Pelodiscus sinensis: one gene and its partners. The protein of the gene in region 1 purifies or fractionates together with the protein of each later gene. This does not show direct contact. Links are inferred from orthologs where the notes say so. Each region holds a gene or a part of one and is shown in the gene's direction. Other genes may lie near its edges. The genes, in order: ras GTPase-activating-like protein IQGAP1, MAP2K1 and myosin light polypeptide 6.

What was found.
Region 2: the proteins of ras GTPase-activating-like protein IQGAP1 (region 1) and MAP2K1 purify together in Homo sapiens (affinity purification with western blotting; 3 studies listed by BioGRID, with this or other methods). This does not show direct contact. The link is inferred for Pelodiscus sinensis from reciprocal best matches to the Homo sapiens genes IQGAP1 and MAP2K1.
Region 3: the proteins of ras GTPase-activating-like protein IQGAP1 (region 1) and myosin light polypeptide 6 purify together in Homo sapiens (affinity purification with mass spectrometry; 3 studies listed by BioGRID and IntAct, with this or other methods). This does not show direct contact. The link is inferred for Pelodiscus sinensis from reciprocal best matches to the Homo sapiens genes IQGAP1 and MYL6B.

Annotation. Positions count from the first base shown.
Region 1 is NW_027465934.1:153,175-156,919, forward strand, and holds the start of ras GTPase-activating-like protein IQGAP1, read left to right. Parts: upstream 1-1,427; 5' UTR 1,428-1,432; intron 1,433-3,745. UniProt on the Homo sapiens protein: Plays a crucial role in regulating the dynamics and assembly of the actin cytoskeleton.
Region 2 is NC_134724.1:4,697,685-4,701,429, reverse strand, and holds the start of MAP2K1 (dual specificity mitogen-activated protein kinase kinase 1), read left to right. Parts: upstream 1-1,184; 5' UTR 1,185-1,763; coding exon 1,764-1,843; intron 1,844-3,745. UniProt on the Homo sapiens protein: Dual specificity protein kinase which acts as an essential component of the MAP kinase signal transduction pathway.
Region 3 is NC_134729.1:4,098,288-4,102,032, reverse strand, and holds the start of myosin light polypeptide 6, read left to right. Parts: upstream 1-1,603; 5' UTR 1,604-1,706; coding exon 1,707-1,898; intron 1,899-3,745. UniProt on the Homo sapiens protein: Regulatory light chain of myosin. Does not bind calcium.

The DNA of each region.
Region 1 (3,745 bases):
GCCGGGGGCAGAAGGGGCTGCTCACGGTGCGAAGAAAGCGCCCGTGTGTGGCGATATTGGCGGAGGGGAGCTTGCAGAAATAATCTGGTTTCCCGCAAGGGGCCCTTGCCACCAGCAAGGGATGAGGAAATGGCTGTTGCTGTGCAGATGTGACTAGAATTAGCCTTGGTCTCCTAGCAACAAAGACTATAAGAAGAGGCAGGATCACTTCGAGGGAAGAGGGGGTTGGACAAACCAGGCGGCTCTGACAGAGCCCCTGCTGGAGACCTCGCTGGTCTCCTTCCTGTGTCTGCTAGAGCTCACCCAAGGACCCAAGCCTTGGCCTCCGACAGCCCGGCCGTTGTGGTGGTCTGTGTGGAGGGTCTAGGGCATGTTTGTAGCTAAACACGGGAGAGGTGCGTCTCAAAAGCCAAGGGAATTAAAAACCCCAGTAATTCAGTATTCACTTTGGGTTGCGAAGAGGGACCTACCGATCTTAAAACCACTTCAGTTAGAACATTGTACGCGGAGCCAAGAAGAAAAGACATTCGCAGCTAAAACCAGAGGATTGCAGTCCAAAGTGTCCAAATCTTGGCTAAAAACTTACTTTTTAACTCAATGAGATATTGCCATAGATGGAACAGAGCTTCCTATGGACTCCGGAGATGGATAACGTCTGTATTGCCTTCAGTTTCTTCTCTCTCAATTTCTTGAGCCAGCTGCGTGAGTTCTCTCTAAAGAATCAGAGATAAAAAAGAAGCTAGAAACGTTTGCAGCAGGGTGTGTCCCGTTAGCGTGGTCAAAGCAAGTGGTAGAATGAGCTGCGGAAGGTGAAAACACCTGCCTCTCAAAGAGGGTCCAAGCTGTCCTCCAGTGAGTCGTGGGGAGAACCAGCCGGAGATGATGCATCCAGATGGGAGTTGTCCTCCAAGGGCTCCAGCGCTTGCTCATGTGCATTCCCCAGTGGGGTGCGTGCTGCCCTGTGCAGACTGTCCCCTGGCGGCCCATGGAGTGGCACCTCTGTGGTGTGATAGCCGGGCTGCCGCGTGCTCCCCCTCCTCACTGGGGATGAGCCCGTGATGGGGCACGCGACTGCTTTGCTCCACTACCCACTGTAGCCGCCTTCATTTTGACTCTTCCTTGTTTTGTGTAGCTGGATCCCTGCTCTTGTAGGACACGGCTAGGCAACGGGGGGGGGGGTTCTGGCCCCCTTTGGGACTTTGCCTGGGTCGGGGCATGCCCCAGTCTCGGCATTCAAATCTTGTGACCCCCGCAGATACCTGTGCCAGTCAGTGCCCTACACGGGAGTTGTTCGTGCTGCCTGGGCAGAGCTCTCATCAGCAACAGCTTCAGGAGTGGAACATTTGGCTCCGTGCCCTCCTGCTGGAGCCAGCCCTGACTCCGGCGCCGGTGCACTCACCCGACATGGCGCCAAGCACCGACGCCTCAGACCACTGTGCTCCTTTGGAGCTGTCTGCCTACACCCGAAGAGGATGGTGCGGGTCCCTTTGCTGCAGCCCCCTAAGCAACAGGATTAAGTCTGTGGGCGAGCCCCACGTGGACCCACATCAGGCAGCTCTCGGCCCCCTCTGGTTCACAGGTCCAGCTCGTAGAGTGGAGCAGCCGGACAGGAGCGGGACCCTTAGCCACGCCAGAGGGTCTGCTAGTGGCACAAGACACATTGGCTGCCGGTGCCAGCCCCCCTTGAATCCCTGTCCCAGTGGCAATGGACTCAGTCAAGGGAGGAGTGGGCACCCCGCTCTGGCACGCAGCCGCCAGGAGTCAGATCGGGGTAAGCGAGCCCCGCTACCCCCCTCCGCTGGGCAGAGTCCCACGGCACGCGCCACTCACCCTGACCAGGATCTCCTAAGTCCACGGGCCCATCTGAGCAACCGTCCGTACGGGCGCACACGGGCACCGCGCCTGCTCGCACAGTGCGTGGCGTGGATCACCGGCCACAGCGGTTCCAGGAGGAGCCTGGTCCCCGGTGTCAGCCTCCAGGACACGAGCCTAGAGCTGACCCTGACGTGCCTACACAGACCTCGATGCTGTAACTGCTGCTCATACACCGGCGTTGCAGCCGCCTAGGGCGCTCAGACTGCGCCAGACTAGCCCTTTCCAGTGGGGCCTACCATGGCTGGCGGGCACCGTGTTCACCGCCCCTCCCGCGTTGCCTGCTTGGCGGCTGGGGCCTGGAGAGACCTTCTGCTTCTCTCCGCCCCGCAAGGGTCCCTCGGCGGAGCAGACGCCTCCGGCCCCGCAAAGCAAGGAGCGAGCCCCGGGACCAATGGAGGCACTGGGCCTCCTCGGCGTCGTTCCCAGGCGAAGCCATTGCAGCAGCCCTGCAGGAGGTCAGCAGGGGGCCAGTGACAGGCAGTGGAGAGCTCTGCCCCACGGCACCGGCTGGCTGTGGTCCCTGAAGCACAGTGGCAACCCCCCCGTGCCGGCCAAGGGCCGGAAGTGCCACCTTCCTGCCAGCTCCTCCGTGGTGGAAGCAGAAACCACCGGGAACCAACCTGCAGTGACCCTTAAAATCGAGACTCTAGGACACCAGACTTGCAGACGAAAACTTGATTCCTGCCCCGTTCCAGCTGAGTGGCAAACCCCAGAACCCTGCTGAGGCAGCCCGATGCGCCCGTGTTGCAGACTGTGCCTATATCCAAGCGACCGCTAGGAGGGAGGAGAACACGGCCCGCCCGGAGGAGACCTGGTGGCAAACCCCAGAACCCTGCTGAGGCAGCCCGATGCGCCGGTGTTGCAGACTGTGCCTATATCCAAGCGACCGCCAGGAGAGAGGAGAACACGGCCCGCCCGGAGGAGACCTGGTGGCAAACCCCAGAACCCTGCTGAGGCAGCCCGATGCGCCCGTGTTGCAGACTGTGCCTATATCCAAGCGACCGCCAGGAGGGAGGAGAACACGGCCCGCCCGGAGGAGACCTGGTGGCAAACCCCAGAACCCTGCTGAGGCAGCCCGATGCGCCCGTGTTGCAGACTGTGCCTATATCCAAGCGACCGCCAGGAGGGAGGAGAACACGGCCCGCCCGGAGGAGACCTGGTGGCAAACCCCAGAACCCTGCTGAGGCAGCCCGATGCGCCCGTGTTGCAGACTGTGCCTATATCCAAGCGACCGCCAGGAGGGAGGAGAACACGGCCCGCCCCGAGGAGACCTGGTGGCAAACCCCAGAACCCTGCTGAGGCAGCCCGATGCGCCCGTGTTGCAGACTGTGCCTATATCCAAGCGACCGCCAGGAGAGAGGAGAACACGGCCCGCCCGGAGGAGACCTGGTGGCAAACCCCAGAACCCTGCTGAGGCAGCCCGATGCGCCCGTGTTGCAGACTGTGCCTATATCCAAGCGACCGCCAGGAGAGAGGAGAACACGGCCCGCCCGGAGGAGACCTGGTGGCAAACCCCAGAACCCTGCTGAGGCAGCCCGATGCGCCCGTGTTGCAGACTGTGCCTATATCCAAGCGACCGCCAGGAGAGAGGAGAACACGGCCCGCCCGGAGGAGACCTGGTGGCAAACCCCAGAACCCTGCTGAGGCAGCCCGATGCGCCCGTGTTGCAGACTGTGCCTATATCCAAGCGACCGCCAGGAGGGAGGAGAACACGGCCCGCCCCGAGGAGACCTGGTGGCAAACCCCAGAACCCTGCTGAGGCAGCCCGATGCGCCCGTGTTGCAGACTGTGCCTATATCCAAGCGACCGCCAGGAGGGAGGAGAACACAGCCCGCCCGGAGGAGACCTGGTGGCAAACCCCAGAACCCTG
Region 2 (3,745 bases), on another chromosome or scaffold:
AGTATGCAGAGTAATGATTTTATATGGGGATTAAATTAAGTTGTTCTTCATGTAACATTAACACTGTAGGCTGATATGCAGAGTAAGTATTTATGGTAGACATTTGCTAATTTAATTGCTACAGACCTCATAATTCCATTTCACAGAACTTCTGAAAAATTATAAACAAAAGGTTACATACTCATAGCAGATTAATTTACTAGATGTTGACAGTTCCTTTTGTAATCCCCTTTTAAATACAAAGCAGGCCTGTACGCAAGGGGATAGGAAAGCACCCCCTTGAGTCCCCCAAGTAAGTATGCTCAGGCTGGCCAGGAGAGTGCTGCCTGAGCCTCCCTTGCCCATGCTCTGGTCTGCTGGGAGAAGGGGGGCTGATTTCCCTGCTTACTTGGGGGACCAGAGGGGGGTGCATTCACACCCTTGCAGACCACATTTACAAGAAAGCACCCCCCACAGAAATTTCTGCCTATGATCCTGTAAAGCGCACAAATGATTAAACGACTGTCCTCTAGTTGTGGTGCAAGTAACCTAATGATGTTCTAGTGACACAGAGCCTAAGATTCACCCTTACATATTCTAACGGTTTGGAACATTTTAACCCCTCCCCTCCCAAACTGGCCAAGAAATGATTGGAAGGCAGGGGAGAAGAACAGCAGAGCTGTGAGTTTCCTGTTGCCTTTCTAGTTACAAACAGAGTAGGTCATGATGAGGAAAAGTCTAAAATGCTCTGCTTTTTGAAATATGCATCCCATTGCTCTTTCACAGAGTAGACCCCATCCCATGCACAGCTCTAGACTGTCCTCCAATGCTCATAGTCACAACCTCCCCATGAGTTCTACACTCCTAGCATCTGAAGAAGTGGGTTGTACCCACGAAAGCTGGTGATACCATCTACCTGTTTTGTTAATCTTTAAGGTGCTACTAGACTATTCGTTGTTTTTAACCTCCCCATTGTTTTGCTCCATTCTGGTGACTTCCGACGGGAATCCTGTCCTGCTCTCACCCCCCTCTGTGTCACCTGACGATCCCCTCCGTCTCTTTTCGAGCCGGGGCTGCGCGTTTTGCTCCTGGCTTGTGTCTGACGATCCCCTTTCGGGGCCCAGTTCTCAACCGGAGCGCGCGTGTGAACCGAACGCGGAGTGACTCCGGTGCGTGTACACGAGGAAGGGGGGGATGGGAGGTGGTGAGAAGGGAGGGAGAGAAGCCCCGAGCTCTCGTGGCGTGGCCGCAGGGAAGATGAGAATCCGAAGCAGGCCCGCGTTTGACTCAGAACCCAGCCCCGGCTCCCCAAGGAGCGAGTCCCCGGCTCGCCCCGGGCGCACACCTCCCCCGCGCACCCGAAGCGAAACTCCGGGCAGAGGAGCAGGCGGGTGCTTGCAAAAGGCGGCCCTCCCCAGTGCCCATGAGCAGCGGCTCCACACTTGCGCACTGGGGCGGGCCGAGGCTTTGCACATGCACAGTAGCGAGCAGGGACGCGGTTTGAGCTCGGGCAGGGTCCGCTCTCCCGGCGCCGCTCGGGGAACTTCGGACTGCTCAGGCGGGGAGCGGCTGCCGGCCCCGGGAGCCGCGCTGAGCGCCCGGAACGCGGCTGCCGGCCAGGGAGCGGCCGCCGGCTGACCGGCGCAGGAGCCCAGAAGCGCTAGCAGGGAAGATCGCCTAGTGCGGCGGGAACTGCCGGAGGAGCCCCGCACTCTGCCCGGCGGGAGGGAGCCCCCGGAGCTGGGCATTTTCGGGAACTGACGAGCCATTCTTCTTACTGCAAAATGCCTAAAAAGAAGCCGATGCCAATTCAGCTGAACCCGGCTCCAGATAGCTCCACCATCAATGGGACCAGCACTGCAGAGTGAGTACAGCCTCCCTGGGGCTTGGGTGTTACTCCTGCCTTGGAGGAGAGAGGGGTGGGGCAGATACAACCCAAGATTCGCTCCCCTGCTGTGTCTCTGGGGGACCGTGCTCCTAAATCTCTTAGTCTGGGGATAACGGGAAACATTTCTGCACATTCTCCAGGACTCCAGCAAAGCAAAGCGAGACGATGGTGCTTAACACGAGCGCCTCAATCTCTGTGTCTAAAAAATAAAAAACACAGGAGGTGTTACAGGGTACTGTCAACAGGATCTTTTTTTTAAAGGCCACTGTTACAAAAGGTTCTGTTAGAGCAGCCTTTCATTATCAAGGCTTAATTAAAAAAAATCAAAATAATCCAGGGTGGGTTTTTTTTGCCCCCTTGTTAATATTTGTGTCTTTTCAGAAAGGACAGTGAATTTGGCGACACAAAATTCTGTCAGATGCATAAAGTAAACAAGGTGAAAAATAATTTTATAACTTCAGTCACAGTTTTTAATTCTGGTAGATACAAACATTTTAGATGGAAATGTTATTTCCATATTAATGGTATCTTTTACACGTGCATGTACTATATGATAAGTACTTAGCAAATGTCAAGTACTTTTTTCCAATAGGAATATTTTATATATGTAAAAAAGAGTAATTTGCTCTGGAAATCAGAAAGTCATTCCTCCTTTTTATTCTATAACAGACTGCAGTCCATTTTAGAAAATCTTTTCTTTCAGTCACCTCAGCTGTCACATTTGATTACAAATAATACTCATGTGGAAACAAGATGCTACACTTTTTGGGTATAATGAAAACATTGCAAAAAAATCAAGAGGGAAGTACCGACTAGCTGATTTGATCCTTTTTTTTTAACAACAATAACAAAGATTGCAGTCCTTAAAATTATGGGTTACCTGTGAATTTATGGGTAACAAAACATGCTTGCTTGGGAAGTCTGTATTTAAATTATCTGTAGTGTAAAAGAATGAAGAATTACAAAAGAGTTTGAGTTTGCTAAAGGCAACAGGTTGGCACGCATCATTTCATTCTTAGCCTGAGGTTATGAGAGAGAGAAACAGAGGTGTTGAAATACCTACAATCCCTGGAATACAGGTTGCTATCCCAGAAAGGTCAGTGTGACCCTTCTGCTTTGTTAGGGAAATTAAATTAAGTTTGTGTGTGGGTTTTTCAGAGGACATCTGAAATGGAGGTTCCATCAGTTCTGTTAATCATGCGGGGCCGATGCCCCGCAATTGGTGACGGGTTTTCAAATGAGCTTGGTTGCCATTGTTACCTATTTAATACTCTAATTTTCAAACTTATGTAGGAGCTAGTAGCTCCCACTGTGATATTTATAACCAGATTTTCAGAAGCACTCAGTGTCCATTGTGCTGATCTTCATTACAAATCTAGCCAACCACCCTGGTGCCTTAATGGGAGCTGATTTCTTCTGAAAATCTGTCTTGGACAGCAGGTGCTGAACTCTTCTGAGAAGTTTGGCCTAAGTGTCACCTGGGTTCTGCCCTGGATTGTGTTGTAAAGATTAATAAGATACATATCTAAATTTTCCTGTACAGGGATCTTCATGGCTGTTACAAACATAATCTGATTTAACATTAAATATCTGTGAGTGTGGGATACGGTTATCCCCATTTTACAGAGAAGCTGAGACACAGGCCAAATTTATTTATTTTGACACCTAAAATTAAAAAGCAGGTATCCATTGCATCTCCCCAATGTTCTTTCTTTCAAGGTTACTCATTTTAGTCCCAGAATTCCATACAACATTGCAACAAGAGAAGTGAGTGGACTCCAAATTTGAATGCAAGCTATTTACACCAAAAACAAAGATATATGAACCTGAGGTTATACAGAAAATGTTATTTGTACAAAAAGCCTGAATCTTACAACA
Region 3 (3,745 bases), on another chromosome or scaffold:
GGCCACATGTCCAGTTTTGCCCTCGGTTCCATGGGCTGTGAGTCCTCGTCTCTCTCCGGAGGGGAGGAAGCGGCCCTGTTTCACTGGGGAAACTGAGGCACAGGGTGGGCACAGCCCCACCCAGGGTGCAGAGCTGGGGGAGGGGGGAATGAGCTGGCGTGGGAGACAGTCAGGCCCTGCCCCCACCCCTAAGGATTCATGTGTCAGGGCAGGGGAGCCAGTTTCACGGATATGAAGGGGGAATTGCATCCTCCCCACCTAGTGCCAGGCCGGGATCCCCCCCCCCCAGCACCCTGTCAACAAGGGGAAGCGCTGGAAACTTCGTGGCATTCAGGTGCCCGAGTCACGTTTCAGCCGGTGGCGCTGGGCCCCGGTCCCTGCTCAGCACCGCGGGCGCCCTGCCAGGCTCGTTAATAATAATCTACGGAGAAACCCGCTTCATGGGACTGCAGGGCAGGGGGGGCACGTCGGGCCGTGAGCCAAGCCCTAATCAAACCGTGACGGGGGAGCAGCCAGCTGGACTTTTCCATCAACCCCTGCTTAGCCTGCAGGGCTGGGCCCAGGGCCAGATCAGGACAGGCCCTTTTGTTTCCACTCAGGGTAATTTCCAGGTGCTAATCAACCCACCCAGGGGCCGAGGGACTCTCACGGCGCTGCAGCCACCTCTGGGGTGTGCCCCCAGTAGCTGCTTAGAGCTCGGGGCACCCCGTGCAGAGTGCCGGATGCCGGCCGTACCTCACAGCAGCATATGAGAAGGGGTAAATCCTCGGCTGAAGCCACCCTCCCCAGTCACAGCCAGTACCCCCCTAACACACACACACCCCCACGTTCAGTGCCCCAGGACTGTGGCCTACAGCACCCAGCCACGGACCAGGCTGTCTGCCCAGCTTTGACAGAGCGGTGTCCCCAGCCCATCGCTGCTACCCCTGCCCGTCCCTGGACTTCGGAGGGGCTAGAGACGCGGCCCAGGCCTTGCTGCGTGGCGCCCGGACGCCTGGGTTCTAATCCTGAGGGGGGGAGGCCGAGGTGCTAGTGCAGGAGCAGGGGGGCTGCTGACCCACAGAAAAATCAGTGGGGGGGCCACAAGTGACGTGGCCCCCCACTGGGAAGGTGACAGACACGTGCTACGTTCGAGCCTGGGGCGGGGGGTGCTCAGCCTAGTAGATTTTGTGTGTTTCAGCCCCATGATGGAGCAGTGCGGGGGGGGGGGGGCGCTGAGGTTCCCCAGCCCTGCACTGGTGGCTTGTGGAGGAGCCCAGATGCAAGGGGGGCCGGGGGAGAGGCTGGGAGTCAGGACTCCTGGGTCCTTAAGCCGCTGCCCCCTGTCTCTGGCCCGGCCCTCACCTTCACCAGCCCTACGCTCATGCCCCTCCAAGCCTGCTTGGGCGGGGGGGGGGGGCATTTCCTCTGGCAGGCGGCCTGGTTCTCTGGTGCATGCTTGGCATGGCTGCTCCCGGGAGCTCACCTCTAAGAAAAGCCCTGGAGTTGGATGGCGGGGGCGGGGGGGGGGGGCTGCCACTTCTGACAATGAATGATGCTCTCCGTTTAGCCCCCCCTCTCCCCCAGCACTGCCCTTATCTAGCGCGCCTCCGGCCTGACGTCACCCCGGGCTATTTAAGCTGGGCCAGGCAGGGCAGCCCCAGGCTGGGACTTTGCCACGGCCCCACAGCCGCCTCCGCCTGCACGAGCCGCCGGGCGCAGCCGCCATGCCCCCCAAGAAGGAGCTGCCGGTGAAGAAGCCGGTGGCTGCGCCAGCCAAGCCGGGTGCCAAACCAGCCATCGCAAAGCCAGCGGCTGCAGCAGCGAAGCCCAAAGCCCCAGAACCGGCCCCGGCCCCGGCCCCACCCCCGGCCCCGGAGAAACCCAAAGAGCCGCCGATCGACCTCTCCAAAGTGGTGGTATGTGGGGTCGTCACCCGGGGGGGGGGGCAGGACTGCAGCTGAGGGGGGGTTCCCCTCAGGTGGTAGCAGCACCCCAAATAGAAACCCACCCTGCCTGCCATGTGAATGGGAGAGGATACCCCAGCCTGCACCGCGCTGCCCACTTTGCCCAGTGCTGGGCAGATAAGAAAACACCCCTGGGACTAGCACCCCTCTCCACCTGCTTCCCCGTGGCCCCGAATACTGCCCCTCCCCCCAGCGCCTGCATTTGCAGTGGGTGGGATGGCACCCCTCCCCCACATGCTCCCCTGATGGTTGCTGGAGGGCCGGGGGCTCCCCCAGGTTTCATCAGGGACAGAGGAGTGAACACCCCCCCTCCTGCAGTGAAGGCCACTATTCTTCCCTTTTCAGATGGGTAAACTGAGGCACAGGTGGGTGCTGCGATTTGCCCAATGTAAACCAGTGGTAGAGCTGGGACATGAACCCAGGAGTCCGGATAGCCCTCCTCCCCCCCCCCCCCGTTAGATCCCACTGCTGTCCCAGAGCTGGGACCAGAATCCAAGAGTGCTAGCTTCCAGCCCCCCGGTCTATCCTCACCCGCTTTCCAGCGCTTCACAGCAGAGCTGGGACTGAAGCAGGGGATGGGAGGGGTCCGTGGAGCAGCTTAATCTAACGGAGACTCATCTAAGCAACCAGCTCCTAGACAGTGGCCAGGAAGGGTGGGAGGTCTAGTGGTTAGAACATGGTGGTGGTGGTGGGGGAAATCAGCGAGTCAGGTCTCCTGGGGTCTGTCCCTGGCTTTGGAAGGGCAGTGATGTCTAGGGGTTAGACAGGGGGATTAGGGAGGCAGGATTCCTGGGTGCTATCCCTGGCTTTGGAAGGGCAGTGATGTCTAGGGGTTAGACAGGGGGATTAGGGAGGCAGGATTCCTGGGGTCTGTCCCTGGCTTTGGAAGGGCAGTGATGTCTAGGGGTTAGACAGGGGGATTAGGGAGGCAGGATTCCTGGGTGCTGTCCCTGGCTTTGGAAGGGCAGTGATGTCTAGGGGTTAGAGAGGGGGATTAGGGAGGCAGGATTCCTGGGTGCTGTCCCTGGCTTTGGAAGGGCAGTGATGTCTAGGGGTTAGAGAGGGGGATTAGGGAGGCAGGATTCCTGGGTGCTGTCCCTGGCTTTGGAAGGGCAGTGATGTCTAGGGGTTAGAGTGGGGGTGGGGACGCTGGGAGCTAGGACACTGAGAGCTGGTGTTATTCCCAGCTCTACCATGGCTTTGTTTCCAGCTCTTTCCAACAATGGCCAGAGCCCCTTGCCAGCGAGACGGCGGTGGGGGGGGGGCTGTTAGACAGTCACAGATGGGGGCCCTGAGCTCAGGCCAGGATAAATTTAGCCAGTGAGCAGGCCCCTGTTATTTTAATGACAGGGCTGGAATGGGCCTGCCTTCCCAGGCAGCCGGCTCGGGAACAGGTGGCCGCGGGTGGGGGGATTAGCACCCCCTTTTCCAGGCAGATTTATTTCAGCCCCAGCGCCGGGCACTGCTTTGCCAGGCCGCCACCTTCTGTGTGAAGGGGGTCGGGTTGCGGTGGCGGGGGCCGGGGAGCCCCACCCGCCAGGCCTCTGTGCAGGGGACAGAATGCAGCAAAATTCCTGAGGCAGTGAGGTAGGGCCCCTATAAAGAGTGTGACCAGGGGGCGATCAGGCCCTTATATGTATTCAGCTGCATGCCCAGCCCAGCGCCCCCTGCTGGCCGAGACCGGGCCTGGTGTCCCTATGACCCTGAGCCAGGGTCTCTGCCCCATCCCCATCCCCACAGCCCCCCCAGCTGGGGCAGGAGCAGACTCAGCCCTCATCTGATCTGGATCAAAACTTACA